Stegostoma tigrinum: one gene and its partners. The protein of the gene in region 1 binds, or shares a complex with, the protein of each later gene. Links are inferred from orthologs where the notes say so. Each region holds a gene or a part of one and is shown in the gene's direction. Other genes may lie near its edges.

What was found.
Region 2: the proteins of topbp1 (region 1) and gins1 are in contact, whole or in part, in a cryo-EM structure (PDB 8OK2), measured with the Homo sapiens proteins. The link is inferred for Stegostoma tigrinum from reciprocal best matches to the Homo sapiens genes TOPBP1 and GINS1. Residues at the interface, in NP_008958.2 of Homo sapiens: Leu490, Leu491, Ser492, Gln493, Tyr494, Glu495, Asn496, Leu586, Ser587, Arg588, Thr589, Val590, Val596, Cys601, Glu602, Val603, Ala605, Thr606, Val607, Gly608, Val610, Lys629, Pro636, Val637, Pro638, Val639, Met640, Thr641, Arg726; in NP_066545.3 of Homo sapiens: Asn43, Gln44, Val47, Asn48, Lys51, His66, Arg91, Tyr94, Gly95, Ser96, Asn100, Arg103, Phe104, Arg119, Ala122, Met125, Glu132, Gly133, Leu134, Asp135, Thr137, Gln138, Asp139.
Region 3: the proteins of topbp1 (region 1) and brip1 are in contact, whole or in part, in a crystal structure (PDB 3AL3), measured with the Homo sapiens proteins. The link is inferred for Stegostoma tigrinum from reciprocal best matches to the Homo sapiens genes TOPBP1 and BRIP1. Residues at the interface, in NP_008958.2 of Homo sapiens: Leu1272, Ser1273, Ser1274, Leu1275, Asn1276, Pro1277, Arg1280, Gln1298, His1311, Leu1313, Arg1314, Asn1315, Glu1316, Lys1317, Leu1319, Gln1366, Arg1407, Gly1410, Phe1411, Leu1414, Thr1466, Glu1467, Ile1469, Ala1470; in NP_114432.2 of Homo sapiens: Ser1129, Tyr1131, Phe1132, Thr1133, Pro1134, Glu1135, Leu1136, Tyr1137, Asp1138.

Annotation. Positions count from the first base shown.
Region 1 is NC_081355.1:12,951,205-12,958,739, forward strand, and holds the start of topbp1 (DNA topoisomerase 2-binding protein 1), read left to right. Parts: upstream 1-4,449; 5' UTR 4,450-4,595; intron 4,596-4,635; exon of another isoform or gene 4,636-4,788; intron 4,789-4,794; exon of another isoform or gene 4,795-4,909; intron 4,910-6,856; 5' UTR 6,857-6,871; coding exon 6,872-6,961; intron 6,962-7,046; coding exon 7,047-7,181; intron 7,182-7,535. UniProt on the Homo sapiens protein: Scaffold protein that acts as a key protein-protein adapter in DNA replication and DNA repair. Composed of multiple BRCT domains, which specifically recognize and bind phosphorylated proteins, bringing proteins together into functional combinations.
Region 2 is NC_081362.1:20,095,662-20,102,650, forward strand, and holds the start of gins1 (DNA replication complex GINS protein PSF1), read left to right. Parts: upstream 1-3,953; 5' UTR 3,954-4,281; coding exon 4,282-4,356; intron 4,357-6,989. UniProt on the Homo sapiens protein: Required for correct functioning of the GINS complex, a complex that plays an essential role in the initiation of DNA replication, and progression of DNA replication forks.
Region 3 is NC_081380.1:43,259,583-43,266,744, forward strand, and holds the start of brip1 (Fanconi anemia group J protein), read left to right. Parts: upstream 1-4,128; 5' UTR 4,129-4,343; intron 4,344-7,162. Other genes in the region: ints2 (integrator complex subunit 2), read right to left, coding at 175-313, 968-1,275, 3,863-3,898. UniProt on the Homo sapiens protein: DNA-dependent ATPase and 5'-3' DNA helicase required for the maintenance of chromosomal stability. Acts late in the Fanconi anemia pathway, after FANCD2 ubiquitination.

The DNA of each region.
Region 1 (7,535 bases):
GTGCTCTCCAGAGTTGTAGCATGAGATCTGAGCTGGATATTACATCTTTGGATAGGCTCCTGCCTGTTTTCTAGAGGCAAGCCCAAACACTGGGCAGGTTGAAACTTAATGCTTTTTATACGTAACAAAGCAACATGGGTAAGAGTCAGATTAAATCTTGTGATTTAGCTCAAATTTTCTTCAATTGAGGTAAATGTGACATGACGCTCTTTCCATTTTTGAGGTTGGTCTGACCTCGTTTATATTTTAACTTGTTCTAATCACCTGACATCACAAAATCTGAAACAAAATTAAAATACTGCAGAGGCTGGAAATCTGAAATGGAAACAAAACTCCAGTCTGGGAGGAAAGAACATCAAAGACAATTTTGAAAGACCTCCCAGCTTTTGGATGTAGCAAAGAGGTGTGGTGGCTTTTAACAAACCCAGCAGCTTCTGCTGAAAGCTAAACTAGAGATCCTGGTTCTGTGGGAGGCCCAAGGCCTTGTGCTGTTGACACATGGTTTTGGTGGACTGCTCAGAACTCTGTCTTAAAACCTCTTCCAAAAAAAAACCAGGACAAAATAACCCCTTAAATTCACACCATTATCGCATGCAGTATTTGTGGAGAGACAAGACGGTTAATGCTTTTGGGTCCAATATGACCTCAGTTCTGAAGAGTCAGTAGACTTGGAACGTTAACACTGTTTCTCTAGCCACAGATGCTGCCAGACCCGCTGAGTTTTCCAGCATTTTCTGTTTTTATCACTTGCACCTTGCAGTCTCCCTGTGTTTTTTTTTTAAATTTAAAACTTCCACAGTCAATTGGAAAGACAAGGTATTCAGCAAGCAGTTCACAGCTTTTCCCGTAGGTCAGCAAAACAAAATGACAATTCACTCCCAAGCATATCTTAGCAAGACACATGCTTCATTGATATGACTGAAATGTTTCACAAGCTGAATGGCTGAATAGTGATGGATTTTGTTTTGAAACCAAACTCATTGAGACCTAGCTTCTAATTCTTTTTAGCAAATTGAAAATTCTTCCCTTCTGACATTACTAATCATGTGCAAATATATTGAGAAATGTAATTTATGGAAGGGAAAGGCAGTAAGTTCTCATTTTCTTTGCATTTGAATGGTGGTCAGTGATGTTAACTAAACAGTTATGATGCCAACATGGCTAATTTGGGGAATTTATCCAAGAAACTTGGGACAACTTATTGGAAGCATGAATGCAATATTTAGGAGGAACTGCATGTAATTTACCATCTTTGCAACTGATTGAAATGAAGCAATCACTTCCAAGTGATTCTAGTTTGCTCAGTGAATGTGTGCTCTTTCTGCCACCTAGAGGAGGTGTTTTAAGCCATGTATTTTAGACCATCTCATGGCCAAACAGTATCTCCTGCTCTCAGTAAGTCTCTAACTTCCGCTTGTCTTATGACCTGCACCTTTTGACTTTAGCTTTTCCACTTTTAGCCTGCTGTGTTTCAATATCTCCAATAGAATGCCCTCTTGTGATTTGTTTTGCAATTTCTTCCTTTAAACATGAGAAGGTGTGTTTATATGCTCCTTTTTCTGGTGTTAGCCAGTTGCTGGTCTTTCACTTGATTGCCAACTCTATTTGAATGTTATTCATGGAGGTTACTTTATATGTATATGTCTGCATCTGCTCTAGCCAGCCTATACCTCCCACTTATCAATATGTTTATAACAAATGTTTCATAGTACTCACCAGACCAATAGGAAAAGAAAACTTATTTAAAGAGGAGTATAAATTTCAGCCAGAAAATGACTGAGTTACAGGTGCAGGGATATGGGGAAGAAGCAGAGGCTTAGCAATAAATTGTACAGCACATACAGGCAAAATGGGGCAATGGCCTCCTGTGCTGTATAGAGTCAGAGAATGTACAGCATGGAGATGGACAAGTTGGACTCAACAGTCTATGCCAACAAGGTCTCTTAAATTTAGTCTCATTTGTCCCATATCCCTCTGAACCCTTTTCTATTCATGTAGTTCATCTAGCCATCAAGATTCCTTGTAAATGTTGTCATTGTACCAGCCTCAATCCCTTCTTCTGGCAGCTTATTCCACATGTGACACCCTCTGCATGGAATATCCCTTTTAAATCTCTTCCCCCCTGCACCCCCCCCCCCCCCCTAACCTGTGTCCTCAAGTTTTGGAATCTGCTACCCTGGCTAGTAACCCTATGACTTTATAAACCTAAGGTCAGCACTCAACCTCAGTCACTCTGGGGTAGAAAAAGCCCCCAGCTTATTCAGCCTCCCTGCAGTTACAACCCTGGCAACAGCCTTGTAGATCTTTTCTGAACCCTTTCAAGTTTCACAACATCTGTCCTATAGGATGGAGACCAGAACTCAAGTCATAGATGTGCAGCACAGAAATGGACCCTCATCCATGCTAACCAGATATTCTAAATTAATCTTGTCCCATTTGCCACTATCATGATTTTGTGATAATATTCAAACTGTTTTGTTAATATTGTTTATTCTTGCCATGTGCCTTGTACTCATTTGGGGTTTTTGATTAAACAAAACACAGCTTTTTTTTTAGAATCCCTACTTTATGGAAACAGGCCCTTCAACTCCAGTCCACAGTGACTTTCTGAAGACCATTCCCCCCCCCCCATGACTCCTATGTTTGTCTGTTCTGTCCATGCGCGCCACCCCCCCCCCCCCCCCCCCCCCCCAAACCCGCTCTGCATTTCTCAGGACTGATCTATTTCATCTACACACCCCCAAACACTGAGGCAATTTAGCATGGTAAATCCATTTACCACATATCTTTGGACTGTGGGAGGAACTGGAGTACCCACAGGAAACCCACACAGACACAGGGAGAACGTCACCTGAGGCCAGAACCAAACCTAGGTCCCTGGTGCTGTGGGGCAACAGAACTGGCTACTGTGCTGCCCCTGATGACCAAGCTTCAAGACTTGAAAGAGATGAACCTACTCATGTGCCAAAACTAGATTTTTGAAAAACTTTTCACTGAGTTACTCATGAAAAGCTTTTGTCCAAACTTATTACTATGGAATTAGGGTGACGTGATTAATATGAACCTGCTGACAGAAGGCACCACTGTACGATGGGGAATCATCCTGTCCAAGTGGGCAGGGTAACATGATGGTACCTTTACTTTTCTTAGGATGTGTAAATAACCTTCTCAACAAGGTTAAAAGAAACCACAAGATTTTGCAGTTGACTGTATAGTTCATGCATCAAGGGGAAAAACTCAAGATTGTATCAATTCCTTGAAAGATGATTTGTTGGAATTGCAAAACTGGCAGGACTAATGGGAGAAAGTATTCTGTTCTGACACATTGCTTTATTGTATGTGTTTGTGAAATGAAAGGATCCATCAACAGGTATAAGTTCTGTAATCAAATTCTGCAATGAGTAGATGCGCAAACATATATGAAGGTTCATCTTAAAATCATTCTTCAACTATGGTTCTACATTTAGCATACGCTATCCTAAGCAAACAGGAGTTTTGGATTTCTGAGGACAAATCTTTGTTGTATTGTTAGAATCAGGACATTATACCTTACCCAATAATCCTGCAGTATGGCCAAAAGGTGTGGGATTCTTGTATAACGAGATTCAAGTGAGTGTAATGTAATTCAAAGATATGCTTTGCAAATTAAAGGAAATACACTAGTTTTACCAGTGGATCAAAAATTTTGAATGGTGGTCACTAGCGCAGAGGAGGAAGGAGTAGACTAACCATGATCTACAAAATATGGAATAGATACAGAGAATTGGCAGAACTAAGTAGGTGGTATTGAATAAGACATAAAGATAACAAGGTGTGGAGCTGGATGAACACAGCAGGCCCAGCAGCTTCTTAGGAGCACTTGAAAAATTAACTGTTTATCACTCCACATAGCTAACTCCTCACCCTTGTGTTATTTCGGATTTCCAGTATTCTTGAAGTATTTAACTTTTATTTAAGTATCTCGTGCCATCTGGCAATAACATGTTACAAAGCACAAACTGTCTTCCCGAGGGCACAATGAAAGCGGCCAAAGCAAATGGTCATAGCCCCCAAATTTAGGAGCTAAATAACACATTTTTCAAGACCCAAATTTGGATTATTTCCGTTCAAAGATTTTCACAGCCTGGATGACCAAATCAGCAGGTTGCGCCTAGCTTAGCCAGAGCTATGTACATAAATATTGGTGGATACTGGTCTGTGAACCACTCAAGATGAAGCAGAGGCTAACCCATTCACTCCCACGAATCAGACAAGTGAACCTTCTCGTCAACTTTTTCTGAAGCATTTACATTCTTTCCTATGTACACAGTACTCCAGATGTGGTGTCTCGGCTACAACATGTTGCCTCCTTAGCTACTTCCGGGGGGTTTGTTCTCAGTCACATGATCCCATTACGTTCCCAGTCTCCCGCCCTGATCGTCAGGACCCCTAAACCTTTTGCGTCCACAAATGTGCCTGAGGGCCTTTCAGTACTTGCTGAAATCACTCCGAGCGGGAAACGAGAATGTTTGTTTTGAAACATAAAGATTAAATTCATAAACAGCGATCAGTGTTTGGGGAAGCGTAGAGATGTGTTGGACCCGCGGCTCTTGATGGTGAGGCGGACAGGCGGCAGTTCTGGTTTCCCGGGTAACCGAGGTCGGCAGCTGGAGCCGGTCACCGGGGCCGCAGGAGGCGGAGGGAGGGAGGGCCCGGGAGAGGCGAGAAATTTTCCGGGAGAGGCCGGGGCCCCGCTTTGATGCCTCTTTTCCTGGAGCATCCGCCCTGGGAGTCCAGCAGCCGCTGTAGGTGGGTTCGAGTGAGCGGGGGCTGAGGGAACCCTGTTCTCATTCCCCGACATCCCCCCGCCATCTTAACTGCCACCAACTCTCCCAACATTTATCAGCTTTATGTTTTGCAATGAGACTGGGTAAGACTGAATAACTGATGCAATGTATCTGGGATAATGGGAACTGCAGATCCTGGAGAATCCAAGAAACAAAGTGTGGAGCTGCTGTGTTCATCCAGCTCCACGCTTTGTATCTTGCAATGTGCCAGGATCTTTTTGGAAGACCTGAGGTACTTTCTACCTTTACTGTGTTGACTCCTTGTGACTGAAGGAATTATTTTCCCAGTACTGTGAAGTCAGAAACAATGTGATATGCCATTACTGTAACAAATGACTGTCTTGTTTTGATCTGTGAACTAAATGTATAGTCTCCTATTTAGATCTTTCAGTCATATCAGCTTAATGAATAAGTGATAAAATATTCTACATTCTTTTTCAATCGTTGCAGCTTTATTGTCAAATGTATTTCTATGTGCATGTGTAAATTCAGTTATTTGGGGGGGCAGCACCATCCAGAGTGGCAGATCACTTTTGTAAAAAAAATCGTAAACCTAGAAGTAATCCAGCTTTGATGTGTAATATAAAGTTGAAAACAGATTCTGGTATGTGACTATCTGATGGTCACTCTACTTGTGTTTACGCATCAGTTAAACAGACTGCATCTACATAAAAGTGCTCTTGATGTCATTTGACTTTGTCACATTTGTAACCATTTCTGGAATTGACACTAAAGAGGCTTATTGTATACAGTTATTGTGCTAAATTTCCTTGAGTAACGGAAACTGACTGCATTCACTAATTGGTTTCAAGAATTGCTGACAGTAAAAATGTTTGCAGCTCATATTTCACGGTGAATGTCATATGGTTGGATATGTAACAATATGCTGTGAAATGTTTCCGACAGCTCCGGCACTACTGCTGAAATAACTGTGGGAGGTTGGGTATTCAGAGTTTTCAAAGGCTTCAAATGCATGGTATTTAAGCAAGATAGCAAGTAGTATTCAGAAAGTGCTTTATGCGTGAGTATATTTTTGTATTTGCTCTTATACAGGTTGTTTATTAAGCAGTTTTGATGTCTCTGACTATAAAGCTAATTGGTAATGTAGCTGTAGACTGAACACATGCCATTTCATTGAAGGATAAATAGAAATTTTGTGTACAAATCATCATTGTTGTGGCTGCACAGGACATTGGTTAGCTGCTTTTGGAATACTGTGTTCAGTTCTGGTCTCCCTGCAATAGGAAAGAGGTTCTGAAACTTGAAAGGGTTCAGTAAAGATTTACAAGATGTTACCAGGGTTGGTGGGTCTGAGCTATAGGGAGAGGCTGAATAGGCTGGGGCTATTTTCCCTGGAGCCTTGGATACTGAGGGATGACCTTATAGAAGTTTATAAAATCATGAGGATCATAGATAGGGTGAATACCCAAGGTCTTTTCCCCAGGATAGCAGAGTCCAAAACTAGAGGACATAGCTTTAAGGTGAGAGTGGAAAAATTTAAAAGGCACCAATGGGGCAACTTTTTCAAAATAAAACCGAAAGAACTGCGGATACTGTAAATCAGGAACAAAAACAAAGTTGCTGGAAAAGCTCAGCAGGTCTGGCAGCATCTGTGGAGGAGAAAACAGACTTTGTTTTCTCCTGGTGTTGTGTTAGTTACTTGAAGAGAAATTTAGCGATTCTGCAGACATTGATCTTTTAACAGAATTTGCTTAACATGGAACCAGAGGAAAATGTTGAATTATCTTGGCTTGCAAGCAGGACATAATGCCGAAGTTTATTTAATGCAAATTTTAATGCTTATATTTCCACAGTGTTCAGTGATATTCAAAGGTCAGATTTACTCTTAATTTGAAAGAGACAAAGGAAAACTTTCATTTATATAGAGTCTTTAATGACTTTAGAAGTATTAAAGTGGTTTGCAACCATTTAAATACTTTTGAATTATAGTCACTGTGGTAGTTTCCAAACAACTTTTTTGTCCTGATATTGAGAGACTTTAAATACCTTTTGACATTTCTTTTCTCCAGGTTTAGATTGTGAAAATGCCGAGCTCTGCAAAGCCTGAACCTTTTCTAGTGAAATTTATAAAAATGAAAGGGAACGATTCTGAATATTTCACAAAAGCGTATAAGGTTGGTTTATAAAATACCATTTAATGTTTAAACCTTTCTGACTTTTAACTTTATTCATTTCATACAACTTTTTTCTGATTTGCAGGCCATTAAAGAATTTAAATCTGAGGACTTCCTGCAGATTGTACATGAAGATGAAGTATTTAACTTGAAAGTAAAAGACAGCTCACTTTATATATGTGACCCATTTGAGGGAGATGCTTACAATCACCTGAAAAAGGTATGTAGTTTATTTTTTGCTCTTGTAGAATGTTTTTTTGATTTTGTTATATACTGCTTTTTGTCAAGTGTGGCCTGAACCCAAATAGAAAGCCCACTGCCACATCTGTCTGAACCAATGGTGGTACCACAAGACAGCAAAATTTAGCCCTCAAGCAGAGAACAATTGTGACCTGTACACCAGCTGCTAGAATTTATAATATGCAGCCATAAGATCTCGTGTTCAGTAGGTGAAGGGCTGTATAATTTAATGGATCACATTCAGATTACTAACTACCAGACAAGTTTATTGAGCACTGAACTGGTAAATGAACAGCCCTCAATGCAAACAGTATATAGTAATTGCAAACTGCGC
Region 2 (6,989 bases), on another chromosome or scaffold:
AGAGAACACTTTGAAAGCCTTTGAGAAGGATAAAGCGGAGTGTATCAGTTCCCCCTCCAACCCTATTTCAATTGGATCCCCTCCCTCTCATCCTAAACTCCCTGTCTGTGTTATTGCTACTTGTGAGTGGTGCGTGTCAATTGTTTACTTTGTCAAATGGTTGATTTCACAGTGGCTATATTAAAAGAAAACCCACGCTTTTTTTGCAATAGTGCCAATGGATCATTTACATTCACCTGAGAAGGCAGGTATTCTATTGGGAAAGACCAATTTTCCATGGATTATTGAAAGTAAAGTTGCATTAACGCTCAGCATAAATCTGACCCTCATTTATGTATTGTGTACTTGTTTGCTACTGGGTAAAGCTCTAATCTGCTAATCGACAACTGAATGACAACCGACTGAGTAAAAGCTGTGCTTAAAAATACATTCAAAATCCTTTTATAGAGGTGTACCAAAACAAATTCATTTATAAACTGTACTTCTCGATTATATTATCAAATTCAAAATGATGATTGCCCAACCAATTAAAAATGAACTGAACAATAGGATTGAAAGTTTTTGCTTCTTTGCAGCTATGTCAGGCGAACCAAATTTAATAGTGTACAGTAACTCCTCAAATGACTTTAACATGGGGAAGTCTCTGGTCTACGGCTACCATATTGTCGGACTAGAAAACTCTCGCATTCTTACAGTCTGCCTTAAGCATATCAAAAGGATTTACGTATTAATAACGACTGTATCTTGTTTTCCCAGGTAAAGACATAGTTTTATGGACGTCAAGTCTTAAGGTGGGAATTGAACCCACAACTTGTAGCTCAGAGGTAAGGACACTACCAATATGTAACAAAATCTCTTCAAGTCAGTATCATCTAGGAAGTTAAGTGGAAAGAAATGTTTCTTAGAAATAATGTGTTTGAAGTGACTTTTTGCATACCAGAAGGTAATGTACATTCTCATCAGTATGAGAAAGTATAGAGCAATGCTTAAATAGAATGCCAAACCCCTGTTGAGAGATCTTAAAATTTAGAGATTTCCTGCTTATAAAAAAGTGAACAAAACATTCCATTCATCAGCTTATCCGATACTATCCTGTCAAGCAATCAGTACCTGAAAAGTAATGCCTCAGAACATGATTTCATCTCCTTTACCTGCTGCTTATTGATGTGGAGATCTCCATCAATAAGTTGAGCTTTAAATTGCAGGTTGAGTTAATCATCAAAAATACCTGTTTCTGCACGTGTGACATCATTCCCATTAAGCTCTCAGCTATGCCTATGTTACCTTAAGGCATGATTCTTATTTCAGTTTCTCACTACAGAAACTCTAATTCCTCCTAATAATTCCAAATACTACAGATGCTTTAAATAAAAGCAGAAAATAAAGAAACTCAGCAGGCCTGGAAACATCTGTGGAAATGAATGAAATTTAACATTTCAAGTCCAAAGACTCTTTTTCAGAACTCAGAAGTTCTGAGGAATGGTCACCAGACCCGAAATATTAACTGATTTCTTCTTCACAGATGCTGCCAGACCTGCTGAGCTTTTCCAGCAACATGGGGACCGCTTTGCAGAACACCTCCGCTCAGTTCGCAACAAACAACTGCACCTCCCAGTCGCAAACCATTTCCACTCCCCCTCCCATTCTCTTGATGACATGTCCATCATGGGCCTCCTGCACTGCCACAATGATGCCACCCGAAGGTTGCAGGAACAGCAACTCATATTCCGCCTGGGAACCCTGCAGCCATATGGTATCAATGTGGACTTCACCAGTTTCAAAATCTCCCCTTCCCCCACTGCATCCCTAAACCAGCCCAGTTCATCCCCTCCCCCCACTGCACCACACAACCAGCCCAGCTCTTCCCCCCCACCCACTGCATCCCAAAACCAGTCCAACCTGTCTCTGCCTCCCTAACCGGTTCTTCCTCTCACCCATCCCTTCCTCCCACCCCAAGCCGCACCCCCAGCTACCTACTAACCTCATCCCACCTCCTTGACCTGTCCGTCTTCCCTGGACTGACCTATCCCCTCCCTACCTCCCCACCTACACCCTCTCCACCTATCTTCTTTACTCTCCATCTTCGGTCCGCCTCCCCCTCTCTCCCTATTTATTCCAGTTCCCTCCCCCCATCCCCCTCTCTGATGAAGGGTCCAGGCCCGAAACGTCAGCTTTTGTGCTCCTGAGATGCTGCTTGGCCTGCTGTGTTCATCCAGCCTCACATTTTATTATCTTGGAATCTCCAGCATCTGCAGTTCCCATTATCTCTGATGTTTTTTTTCCTCCCTGATTTACAGCATCCTCAGTTCTTTTTCAAAACAGTTTCTCTCTCCACCAATACTGCTAGATCTGTTGAGTCTCTCCAGAATTTTCTGTTTATTTCTATTTTGCTCAAAATCCAACAAGACCTTGCAGCTATTTTTGCCATTACCACGAGTTTCCCATAGTGACACTGACTGCAAATCTTCAACAATGACAGGAGCTTTTGTTGAGACAGCATTAGTTAGAATTCTTAAGCTATGTGATCTCAATAAATAAAACAAGTTATTTCTTGATAGTAACTTGTGCCTGTGGGACCTAAAAAGGTTTAGCTAGAATAGGTCAGATAGCACCAATAAATCAATCAGCTCATTGTCTCCTACAAGGCATAGGAGAGAAGTTTGGTGGATAATAGTCAACTCAGAAAATCATGGGTATGGGTCTGAAGACCTCTTTCCAACCCTGAACATATTAATCATAAACCTATGTACACAAGTTTGTCAGCAGAGTGTAATAAGTGCTAACTTGGGAATTATTTGCAGAAGTGAAAACAGATGTTGCTTTTTCACTTTTTTCCCCCCAGAAGCTGGTGAATGTTCAAAGTTTGCTGATGTTATTCCTGTAAAAGCAGACGGTAGGTTAAACTGACATAGAGACTGATACATTGCATTAGATTAATAGCTTATCTAGCTACACTGATAGATATGTCCCTGGATTACTTACTGAAGACAAATTTGGCACAGAGTTACCAAGGTTAGAGCATTGAATTGGTTCAAAGTTTAGTGTAGAAGAAATACATTTAAATTTGAAGAGAGTTGGCATCAGTGCTGGACAAAAAGGGAGCAGTACTGTGCCTTCTCTTCAGCTACACTGGGCCAACATCTAGCTAAATTATACAACAAGGACTGTACAGTAGGTTTTCAGCTAAAAAGAACAGTTGGGAGAGGTGGGGAAAATAGGGCTTACATGAAGGGAAATTTTGAAAGTTATGGAGGAAGTAAAACAAGGCAATACGACAGAGATGGGAATAATTATCAAACACTGTGATAAGAGGGGACAGGGCATACAGGCATTGTTAGTATACTAACAGATGAGGAAAAGGCAAAAAAAAGGTAAAAAGGCAGAATAAATGGCTAACTGAATGCACACAGCATTCTTAAAATGGACGAATTAAAAACACATCCCAGACGAACTTGCCTTCATTTTGGGTGGCACGGTGGTTCAGTGGTTAACACTGCTGCCTCATAGCGCCAGGTACCCGAGTTCGATTCCACCCTCGGGTGACTGTCTGTGTGGAGTCTGCACATTCTCCCCGTGTCTGCGTGGGTTTCCTCCCGCAGTCCAAAGATGTGCAGGTTAGGTGAATTGGTCATGCTAAATTGCCCGTAATGTCCCGGGGTGTGTAAATTAGGTGGATTAGATATAGGAAATGAAGGGTTGGGGAGTGGATCTGGGTGGGATGCTTCTTCTTCCTTCGAAAGGGCGGTATGGACCTGGTTTCATGTTGTGGGGATTTTTCTATGAGTAGAAACAAATGGAACATGACGGTTGTGATAGAGAGAGGGTTGCCAGTAGCGAAAGGAAGGGGCAGTTAGAGCGCAAGCGCTCTCCTCGAGTTCGCCAGTTGGGTCTCGCGCTGAGGGAGCCGGTTGACTGAGAAGCTCGAGCCGTAGGGGAAAAAGCAAAATCAAACGGCGAATCTGTTGTACGGGAGGGGGGCATACACAAAGAAGGAATTTCACATTTTTAAAAATAAATCAGTTGACCACACATACCTTTTGTAGGAACATCGAGTAGATATTGTTCGCTGTTTATACTTTGCAGTCAAGCTATTTTTTTCGGGAGGAAGTGACGGAGGTGACTGCCCGCTCTCCACCTTCCTGATTGGTCCCGCCGCCACCTGGGTCTTTAGTCGGTTTTGGCGGGGGTTTGGATGGAAGATTTTTGCTCCGTGTTTTACAGCTCGTCCGTTCTTGTTTGTAGAGGTTTATATTATAATACCGTTTGCTCCTTCTGGGAATAATGTTTTGTGAAAAAGCTATCGAGTTAATCCGAGAACTCCAACGAGCTGCGGACGGTCAGTTGCCCGCTTTTAATGTGAGTAACGTAGTATTTTTCCAAATAAGTCTTTAAAATATTAAAAGTGAAACACTAATCTTACTCCGAAGAAATGTTATTGGGCTCGAGACTTTAACCTTGTTTTTGTGTCTAGGGATGCTGCCAGATCTGCCGAGTTTCTCGAGTGCTTTCAGTTGTTTATTTTAATACCCAACATTTTTACTATTGTTTAATCGAGCAATAATGAAGGACGAGACAAATAATGATGTTGAGGAATAAAAACGCGATTGAATTGGTAGTGAGGGAGAAGGTTATAGGTTCGACAGTGGTCAAGTGGACAGAAAAGTGGCGAGCAAAAACGAAGTTGCTGGAAAAGCTCAGCAGATCTGGCAGCATCTGTGAAAAAGAAAACAGAATTAACGCTTCGGGTCCGGAACTGAGGAAGGGTCACCGGACCCGAAACGTTAACTCTGTTTTCTCCTCTACAGATACTGCCAGACCTGCTGAGCTTTTCCAGCAACTCTCTTATTGTTCCTAATTTACACTATCCGCAGTTCTTTTGGTTCTTAGAAAAGTGGCGAGGTTTTTTGTTTGGCGTGGGGAAAATCAATGCAGAGAAATCTGCGGGAATGGAGTTGGGCAAGACCAAACGAGGCAACGGACTGCGCAGTGAATAGTGGGATATTATGAATTGTAGAGGACCAGAGGAGACTTGGCGTGCCTGCCTCGATCCCTGAAAGGAGAAGGACAGGTTTCATAAAGCATATAGTGGTATGTCATTCAGATATTCGATTTCAGATCCATATTGTTTTCATGTCCATGTATATCTACAGTATAGTGCCATGTAGAATCAAGAATCCCTACAGTGTTGAACCAGGCCATTCAGTCCATCAAGTCTACCCCAACCTTCCAAAAAGCATCCCACTCAGATCCACATCATTGCCCTAAGCCCATAACCCTGCATTTCCCATGGCAAATCGACCAAACCTGCACATCTTTGGACTGTGGGAGAAAGCCAGAGCACCCAGAGGAACCTCTCTCAAACACAAGGAGAATGTGCAAACTCCATACAGACAGTTGCCCAAGGCTGGAATCAAACCCAGATCCCTGGTGCTGTGAGGCAATGGTGCTAATTACCGTGCCACCCTGTGATGATAGTGAAGATTTCACAGAAAACTCAACTCTGGTAGGATTTGTACCCACGACCATTGAATAGCACATTTCACTATTGTTTTGGAAGTCCAGCAGGCTCTCCACTGCGCCACAGAGCTGCATGTCTCTCAATCTACATCGAATATATGAATGCCAAGCTTATACTAGGAGGAACCTGCTTTCTTTGCATAGCCATAACTAGGGAACACAGATGTCAAGTAATTGACAGAAGGATTCGAGGGGAGTTGAGTTTTTTCAATTCAGAGTGTAAATTTTTGGAAATAATTGCATACCTACTCGAGTTTCCATTATCTACAAGGGTACTTGTTAAGGGAAAAAATGGTTCTTCCATCTGGGCCATGGACATACTTGGGAAGCTTTCCCAGATACCTGTACCCTTTGTATCTTAGAGCATATCTGAAAGAAGAAAAGTGATTATACCATGAATGATAATGACTAAAGATGCAGCAGAGAAAGAGCTCTGGGGTCATAATATGTCTGAAACACTGCAGCGCAGCAATGAATTAGGTAATTCAAAGCCTGAATTACAAAAGTAAAACAATAAGAGGATGTTCTATTCACAGTTGCCATAGATATTTTCTGGTAAGATCATTCATATAAATGGCCCAAAGATCCTTGTGTTCCTGTTAATGTTGATTAAATATCTAATTGTACTGTATATCAATAGGAAGGATGTGAAATTCAGATCCCTAATGGAACAAAGATGTTAGCTAGTTCCCATCACATCATTTTCCAGTTTTCTTTTTATAGCTTTACTTAGAAATTCTTACAGTCGATTCTTCTAAGTTGTTTTATTCCAGTTTGCTCAATCTCCCTTCCCCTCAGAGTCAAAATAAAGAATAAATCATGTGCTAAGAGTAGAAATATGCTATTCAGCCCGTTGAGTCTGTTCTGTCATTTAATGAAATCGTGGCTGATCTGATAATCCTCCACTCCCCTTTCCTGCCTTTTCCTCATAACTCATGATTCATTTACGAATTAAATATCTATCTCTGCCTTAACGACTCAATGACCCTGCCTCCCCAGCCTTTTGTGATAAACAATTCTGAACATTCTCCACTTCTGAGAGAAGAAATTCCTCCTCATCTGCCCTAAATGGTCAACGTATTATTCTGAAATTATGCCCTTTGACCCTATACTCTCCTATAAGGGGCAACAAGCTCTCCACATCTACTCTGTCAAGTTAGTTAAGAATTTTATATGTTTCAATAAGGTTGTCTCTCATTCTTCTCTATTCTAATGAAAACCAGCCCAATCCTTCCATACCTCTGATGCCAGTATATCCTTCCTTAGATAAGGGGCCCAAAACTGTTCGTAGTATTCCAGCTGTGGTCTGACTATACTTTGTATAGTTGTAGGAAAACCTCTTTACGTTCATTCTCCATTTCATTTGAAATAAAAGCCAACATTTCATTTGCCTTCCCATTACCTACTGAACTTGGATGCTTGTTTTTTTGTGATCCATGGGCAATGACTCCTAAATCCTTATGTTTCTTTTT
Region 3 (7,162 bases), on another chromosome or scaffold:
CTTTGATTTTCTGGCATTTATGACTTTAGGACACCTGCCTCCACTCTTAAGTACACACAGAGTAAGGGAGGCAAACTCAAGTTCCTCAGAAGTAAAGTATGAGCTCATCAGTGCTCAGACAGTGGCATGCATAGATGGAACACAAGCTTCTATCTTAGATTCGTTGTTTATTACCTTGTTCATGATCACTAACAGTTCACTAAGTGCTAGTCGGAGACGACGAGGGGAATCACTATGTTCAAACTCCAAAGCTAAGCCATGCTGTAGCTGTGATACTAGGATGCTCTCTCCATTTGCTCCACCTAACTTGTGCCTGTTTAAAGAAAGTTAATAAGTTTGAGGACTATTCTTGATAAAATAATGTTGTAATAACTAAAGTGAGAAAGAAAAACATTGTAATTATTCTGCATCTTGCAACGTTTCAAAACATCACAAAATACATGTTTCTGGAACATAGTCAACATCACAAAGTAGGAAAAATGACAAATTGTTCACATCAAGATTCTGCAAACAGCAACAGGATAATGGTCAATCAGTTTTAATAATGCCAAATCCATGATTCATCACTGGGCTGAGGGATTAACATTGGGTATGACACAGGGGCAGCAGTTTTTGTTTTAATTCAGAAAAGTGTCATGTGATCTGATATACCCAACTCAGAAGGGCCACCAGGCCTTCACTTAACTTCAAGTGAAAGTCAGGTTTCTAACAGTGCATCACCTCAGTACTGCACGAAGTGCATCAGCAGTATTATAAAATCAAATTTTTAGAGAAGTGCAAACTGTAACCCATAACCTAACTCAGAAGAATAAGCGCTACCAACATAGAGTTAAAGCCGCATTATTAACCTAATTTCTTGTTTCATGTCAGTTACGGGTTGTAGATTTGCTAACTCAGGTTACTGATGGATCATCAGAAATTCACAATTACTCGTTGTTTACATTAACTTGGGAAGTACTATAAATACCTGAGCTGTTGTTCTTTGGTCGCATCCTGTTCCAGAGCATGAAAATCAACCGACAATAGAGCCACAATAGAGTTGACAGCCTCAACCCCAGACAGAAGACGCAGGATGAGTTTTTTGTCTTGTGCCCAAGCCTCACTTTGATCAGCAGGGGCACAAAGTGCCATTCTCACCAGACACGGCAAGAGTAGCCTTAACTCTGGATCACTCAAAGCTGCCAGTTTTACCACATCAACCTTCTGCATTGCTTCAAATGCAAACGAACTCACAAACTGCAGGCACGCAAACTCCGCCATCTTTGCTAAAGGCACCTAAACAGAAATCATTTGAGACACTGTTCAATTTAGCATAGCAGAGGGATGCAGTTATTTACAGTGTTAAAAATCTACTCCAAGACTTGCCAAATTCAGAAATGTTTCTTGCTGATTGTACATCAAGACCGTACACCACTCCCTCTACCACTAACGCTCAGCAGTGTAGCATGTACTACCTACAAGGTGCACTGCAGAAATTCAGAGATCCTTAGACAGCACCTTCCAAACCCACAAGTACTTCCATCTAGAAGGTCAAGGGCAGCAGATACATGGGAACACCACCACCTGCAAGATCTCTTCCAAGCTGCTTGCCATTCCTTCACTGCTGCTGGGTCAAAATCTTTGAATCCCCTCCCTAAAGACATCAAACTACAGCATGTAGAAGGCAGCTCACCATCAGCTTCTCAAGGGAACTGAGTGAGTTTGACTGGTATTAGAGTGTTGGAAGCAAAGTTAGAGTTAATAAATAGGTGTATGTAAGTGCATGTTAGTTATACGTGCAACTTTTGCATTCTGCCCGGGTGTTGAAATCTAGACATAAATTGTACTTTCTATTCTCTAACAACCTCAACAGTTTAAAATAATGAAAGTTTTTCCTGCTGTTTCTCATACATTCTCCCCCACATGTCCAGTAATCAACAATGTTTTAAAAAAAATCAATGCCAAGCAAAATTTATTGTTGGCCAATGTCTACACAATTTTGTTTGACAACAGGAATATTCAGAAAACATTATTCCATTAGATCAGGGCTTGAAAGCACTAACTCCCAGCATCCTTGGCTTCTAGAATAAGATGTTTCCAGAGTTTCTCATGAAAAGGTGCACTCCTGAACAAAAAAACACACACTTTGGTCTACTGGCTAAAACTCAGTGTTTTCACCCCTGCTGCTCATCAGGGAATGAGATTTCATGGAGAGGGTCAATTAGCTGGACGATGCAGTGTCTTGCCAAGCGCATTAGTTCAATTCCTGCACTGGCTGAGGTTATTATAAAGAACTCTCCTGCTCAAAGTCTCCCCTTGCCTGAGGTGTGTGATGGTTGCCAGGATAAAGTACCACCAATCATCTCTCCCTAATGACAGAGCAACCCTATGGTCCAGTAAGACTATGGCAACTTTATTTTGTCTTCAGTGCCATTTTAGATTACATTCCTATAACTTTGTGCTCACTCATCAGAGGAACATGTTTCTCTGTTATACCAAGTAATTTAATTTTAAATATTAAAATCAGATCTCCTCTGAACAGGGTGACAAAGTGGACAAAGGAGTAGTAATAATGTCACTGGTTTAGAAATAGTGGCCTGTGCTCATGTTCTGGGTACAGAATAAATCTCACCATAGCAGCTGATTGAATGTACATTCAATTAATAAATCTTGAATCAGTAATATTGGCAATTATTGTAAAAAATCTGACTTTTTCCACACAGAGGATGGTGCTTGTATGGAACAAGCTCTCAGAGGAACTGGTGGAGGGAGGTGCTATGACAATAATTAAAAGGCTGGCTGCATGAATTGCAAGGGTTTGGAGGGATATGGGCCAAACACTGTAAAATGGGACTAGATTAGTTTAGGATATCTGGTTGGCATGGAGTTGTACTGAAGGGTCTGCTTCCACACTGTTTGGCTCAAAAACAACATACAAATACTGGACATGCATTATCTACTGGCAATAAAACAAAAAAAAACCCTGCAGATGCTGAAGATCTGAAATAAAAACAGAAATTGCCTCAGAGCTCCTATGAAGGATGGTCACTGGGCTCAAAATGTTAACTTTGCTTTCCCTCTGCAGAGGCTGCCAGACCTGGCAAAATTCTCCAGCAATTTCTGGTTTTGTTTCAATTAATGGCAATATTTATTTTAATAGTCAGTTTCCCCAGATGTACTAAATTCTTGATCTTGGTGTTATTGTGAAAGCGAACTCAAGAACCAACAAGTACAACTAAAATTACAGATAACTTGACAAAAAACTGTGTTTCATAAAGGACTTCCTATATTTTTGGCATATTTGCATTGGTACAAGGCATGTCTCAACTTTTAGACCAAGAAATTTAACTTTGTTATTTAATAATTTGTTATTCTACTTAATCAGGGTGTGCCACAAAATGACCTGAAAATATTAACAGCAACGAATGGCATTCCCGTTCCATAGATTATTTGACTTTAGAATCCAATATTTTTAATTATTTTCACACATGGAAACTTTAATCGTAAATTCTCGCGATGCCTCAGTTAAAATTATTACAAATTACTTTTACTTTGAATAACTTACGTGCTTTTTCAGAAATCAAATACCCTACCTTTTACTGAAAACAAAGTGAAAACCGATTAACTAGGCCTCGCACTAAATTAGACGCCGGGCTCACGTAACACTTCTCGCCGAGAAACACACCCAACTCTGGGGGCTCGCCATTCGTCGTTTTAACTCCCTAACGCTTTCGAACTGGAGTTCTCGGAGGCCTGGGAACATACAGTACTCTTAAACTGATTTATATGCTTTTTTAATAAAAAAATCCAAATTCCTACTGAACTCCTCTGCTGTAACTGTCTACATCAAACCTCCCCAATCCACTGACAACACCGTACTAACCGCCACATGGGATTGTGGGCCGTGCCGGGGTAACATAGCAACTGCCAGTGAGGGACTACCGCCACCGAATCGACTCGCCCATTGGTCGTCGGGCAACCCGTTCTCCCATTGACTTACCTCCCTCACGCTCCTGTTCTCACCCGTTCCTGATTGGCCACAATACCGCCGTCCATTCGGCGGCGACTAACCCGAATTGGAAACAAAAAAACAGCGAGTCTGACAGCATCTGCGGAGATAAATCAGAGTCAATGTTTTGGGCCCGGTAATTCTCCCTTCAGTTCTTTCCGTTTTCTGGTCCGAATTGGCCTCGATCCGGCTCTCTCCCGCCGATTGGCTGCGAGTAGTTCAAGCCGCCCGCTGATTGGCCCATAGCTATGCGTCGGCGTACACCGGGATTCGGGTCCAGCACATGCGTGTTGGTTAATCGTCAGGCGCGAAGTTGTGTTGTCCGATTGCATGGGGTAAAACAAGCTGGAAAACTGTGAGTAATATCTTTGTGGAAAACGAACAAAGACTGAAGCGTTTTGCACCTTCGAATTCATAAATTATGGGTGAAGAACCTCATTAACTGTATCACCTGAAATCTGCAGAAATATTTGTTTCTTGTCACTGAAATCCGTTTGGCTCTCCCCACAACTTGTGTGCTGTAATTTGTGGGCAAACTGGTTGTACTGTTTCATTTATCCAGCTGTTCTGTCACTGTCGATTACATGAGTACCCACTATGAAATTTAAATGGACTAGAATACTCCATTAAAATACTGGGAATGTTGGAGATCGAAGTATGAAAATAAAACTGTGACCTAACGTTTAAGTACAGACCATTCGGCCCAGTGTTCATACTTCAGATAACAAGGTCTAGAGCTGGATGAACACAGCAGGCCAAGCGGCATCAGAGGAGCAGGAATGCTGACGTTCCGGGCCTGGACCCTTCTTCAGATTTCATATTTCACACGAGTCTGCTTCTGTCCCACTTTATCCCTTCTTCTCAGCACACCCTTCAGTTCCTTTTCTTTCTCTCTGCTTACGAAGCTTTCCTTTAAGTGCGACTACAGGTATTTTGTTACGAGTGACAGAAACTCAATTGTGCTGAATTGCACATTCCCAACGCTCAGTAATAGCAACTGTAAAATGTGTTGTGGATAAATTACAAATTTATGGATAGTGTCTAGAGATCTCCAAAGGATATTTTATAAACTGTTACCTCCATTTTGACAGGAAGAATATAAAACAAGCATATCATGTATGTCATAGAGTCCCTATAGTGTGGAAACTGGCTATTTGGCCTAGCAAGTCCATGCTGCCCTCCTGAAGAGCATCCCACCCAGACCCATTCCCCTACCCATGTATTTCCCATGTCTGACCCACTTAACAAAACATCCCTGGATACTGTGGGCAATTTAGCATGGCCAATCCGCCTACCCTGCACATCTTTGGACTGTGGGAAGAAACTCGAGTACCTGGAGGAAACCCACGCAGACACGGGGAGAATGTGAAAACTCCACACAGACAGTCCCCAAGGGTGGAAGCAAACCTGAATCTTTGATGAAGTGAGACATTAGTGCTAATCACTGAGCCACTGTGCCGCCGTGCTGAGTGATTGCAAAACTCTGAGATATAGAGATTTGGGTGCTCCAATTTTTAATCACAAAAGGCTGGTATACAGGTACAACAAGTTATTAGGAAAGCTAGTAGAATGTTATGATTTATCACAAGTGGTATTGAAAACAAAAGTAGAGAAGGTGTACTTCAGTTATACGTGCCACTGGTAAGATTGCATCCAGTGTACTGTACATGGTTTAGGTCATCTTATTTAAGGGGGGATGCAAATGTTCCAAGTAGATTTACCACACCAATAACAGAAATGGGTTGAGGTAACAAAGTGTGGAACTGGATGAACACAGCAGGCCAAGCAGCATCAGAGGAGCAAGTTGCTGCTTGGCCTGCTGTGTTCATCCAGCTCCACGCTTTGTTATCTCGGATTCTCCAGCATCTGCAGTTCCTATTATCCCTCACAGAAATGGGTTGGTTTTCTTTTGTGGAAAGGTTGAACAGGCTAGGCTTCTATCTGCTGGTGTTTAGAACAACTAAACACCTTGATTGAAACTTTATTGAAACATACAGACCCTGAGGAACCTGGACAAGGTAATTATGAAAAGTATGTTTATACTTGTGGGAGAATCTAGAGGCAGCAGTCACTTTCAAAATAAGGAGTCACTCATTTAAGACAAAAAAAAGGAAATTTGTTTCTTAGAGGGTTTGAGTGCCTTTGGAAGGCTGTGGAAGCAGAGCCTTTGAATCATTCACCACGGTGGCACAGTGACTCCGTGGTTAACAATGCGGCCTCTCAACACCAGGGACCCAGGTTTGCTTCCACCGTTGGGTGACTGTCGTGTGGAGTTTGCACGTTCTCCCCATGTCTATGTGGGTTTCCTCCGGGTACTGCATTTAAGGCAGTGGTAGATTGATTCTGTATAAGGGGGCAAAAGGAAATCAGACATGAGTCAGCAACCAGAAAAACTATCATTTTGAATGGAAGAACAGGCTGGGGGGGGGGGGGGGGGCAAGTGTCCTACTCCTCCTAATTCACAGTGTCATGTGTACCATACAGATGAAAGTTTCTCCTGAATTAACAATTTGATTCTGTTCGTAATCAATTGTATTTCAGTCCATCAGCTTTGGACTCGTCACATTGTTATGTACCCTATTAAGCTCCTTCATAATTTTAAAGACTTCTCTATTAATATCTATAAATTCCTCTGTGGCTTTGTGCCATCCGTTCAGTGCAGCTATCTTTTAGTCGTTCACAGGATGAGGGCATTGCTGGCTAGGTCAGCATTTATTGCAGCTGCCAATTGCCTAGAGAGCAGTTAAGCATTGGTCTGGAGTCACATGTAGCCAGACCAGGTGAAGATGGCAGATTTCCTTCCCTAAAAGATATTTTGGTGGGATTCTGACTCGTGTTGCCAGAATACTATTGTGTGATCTTTGATTACAAGTTCAGTGATATTACCACTAAGTCACTGCTTCCTTTATCTCCAGTTATAACCGGGCTGCATTGCTTTGCATCATACTCTCTGTTCTTCAGTATATCACTATCTGTCCATCACTTTTGATGGAATGTTCAATTGCCTCAGCCCCACTGCTTGGAACAGCCTCTGTAACCATGGTCTTTTTAAAACTCTTCAACTCCTTGGTTAGACTTTTGGCCGGTCCCTCCTTCATCCAGAGTTTGGTAGAACTTTGGATAGTTTTGGATCAAGAAAGACTAAAGGAATTGCCCAAAACTCTTAATATATTA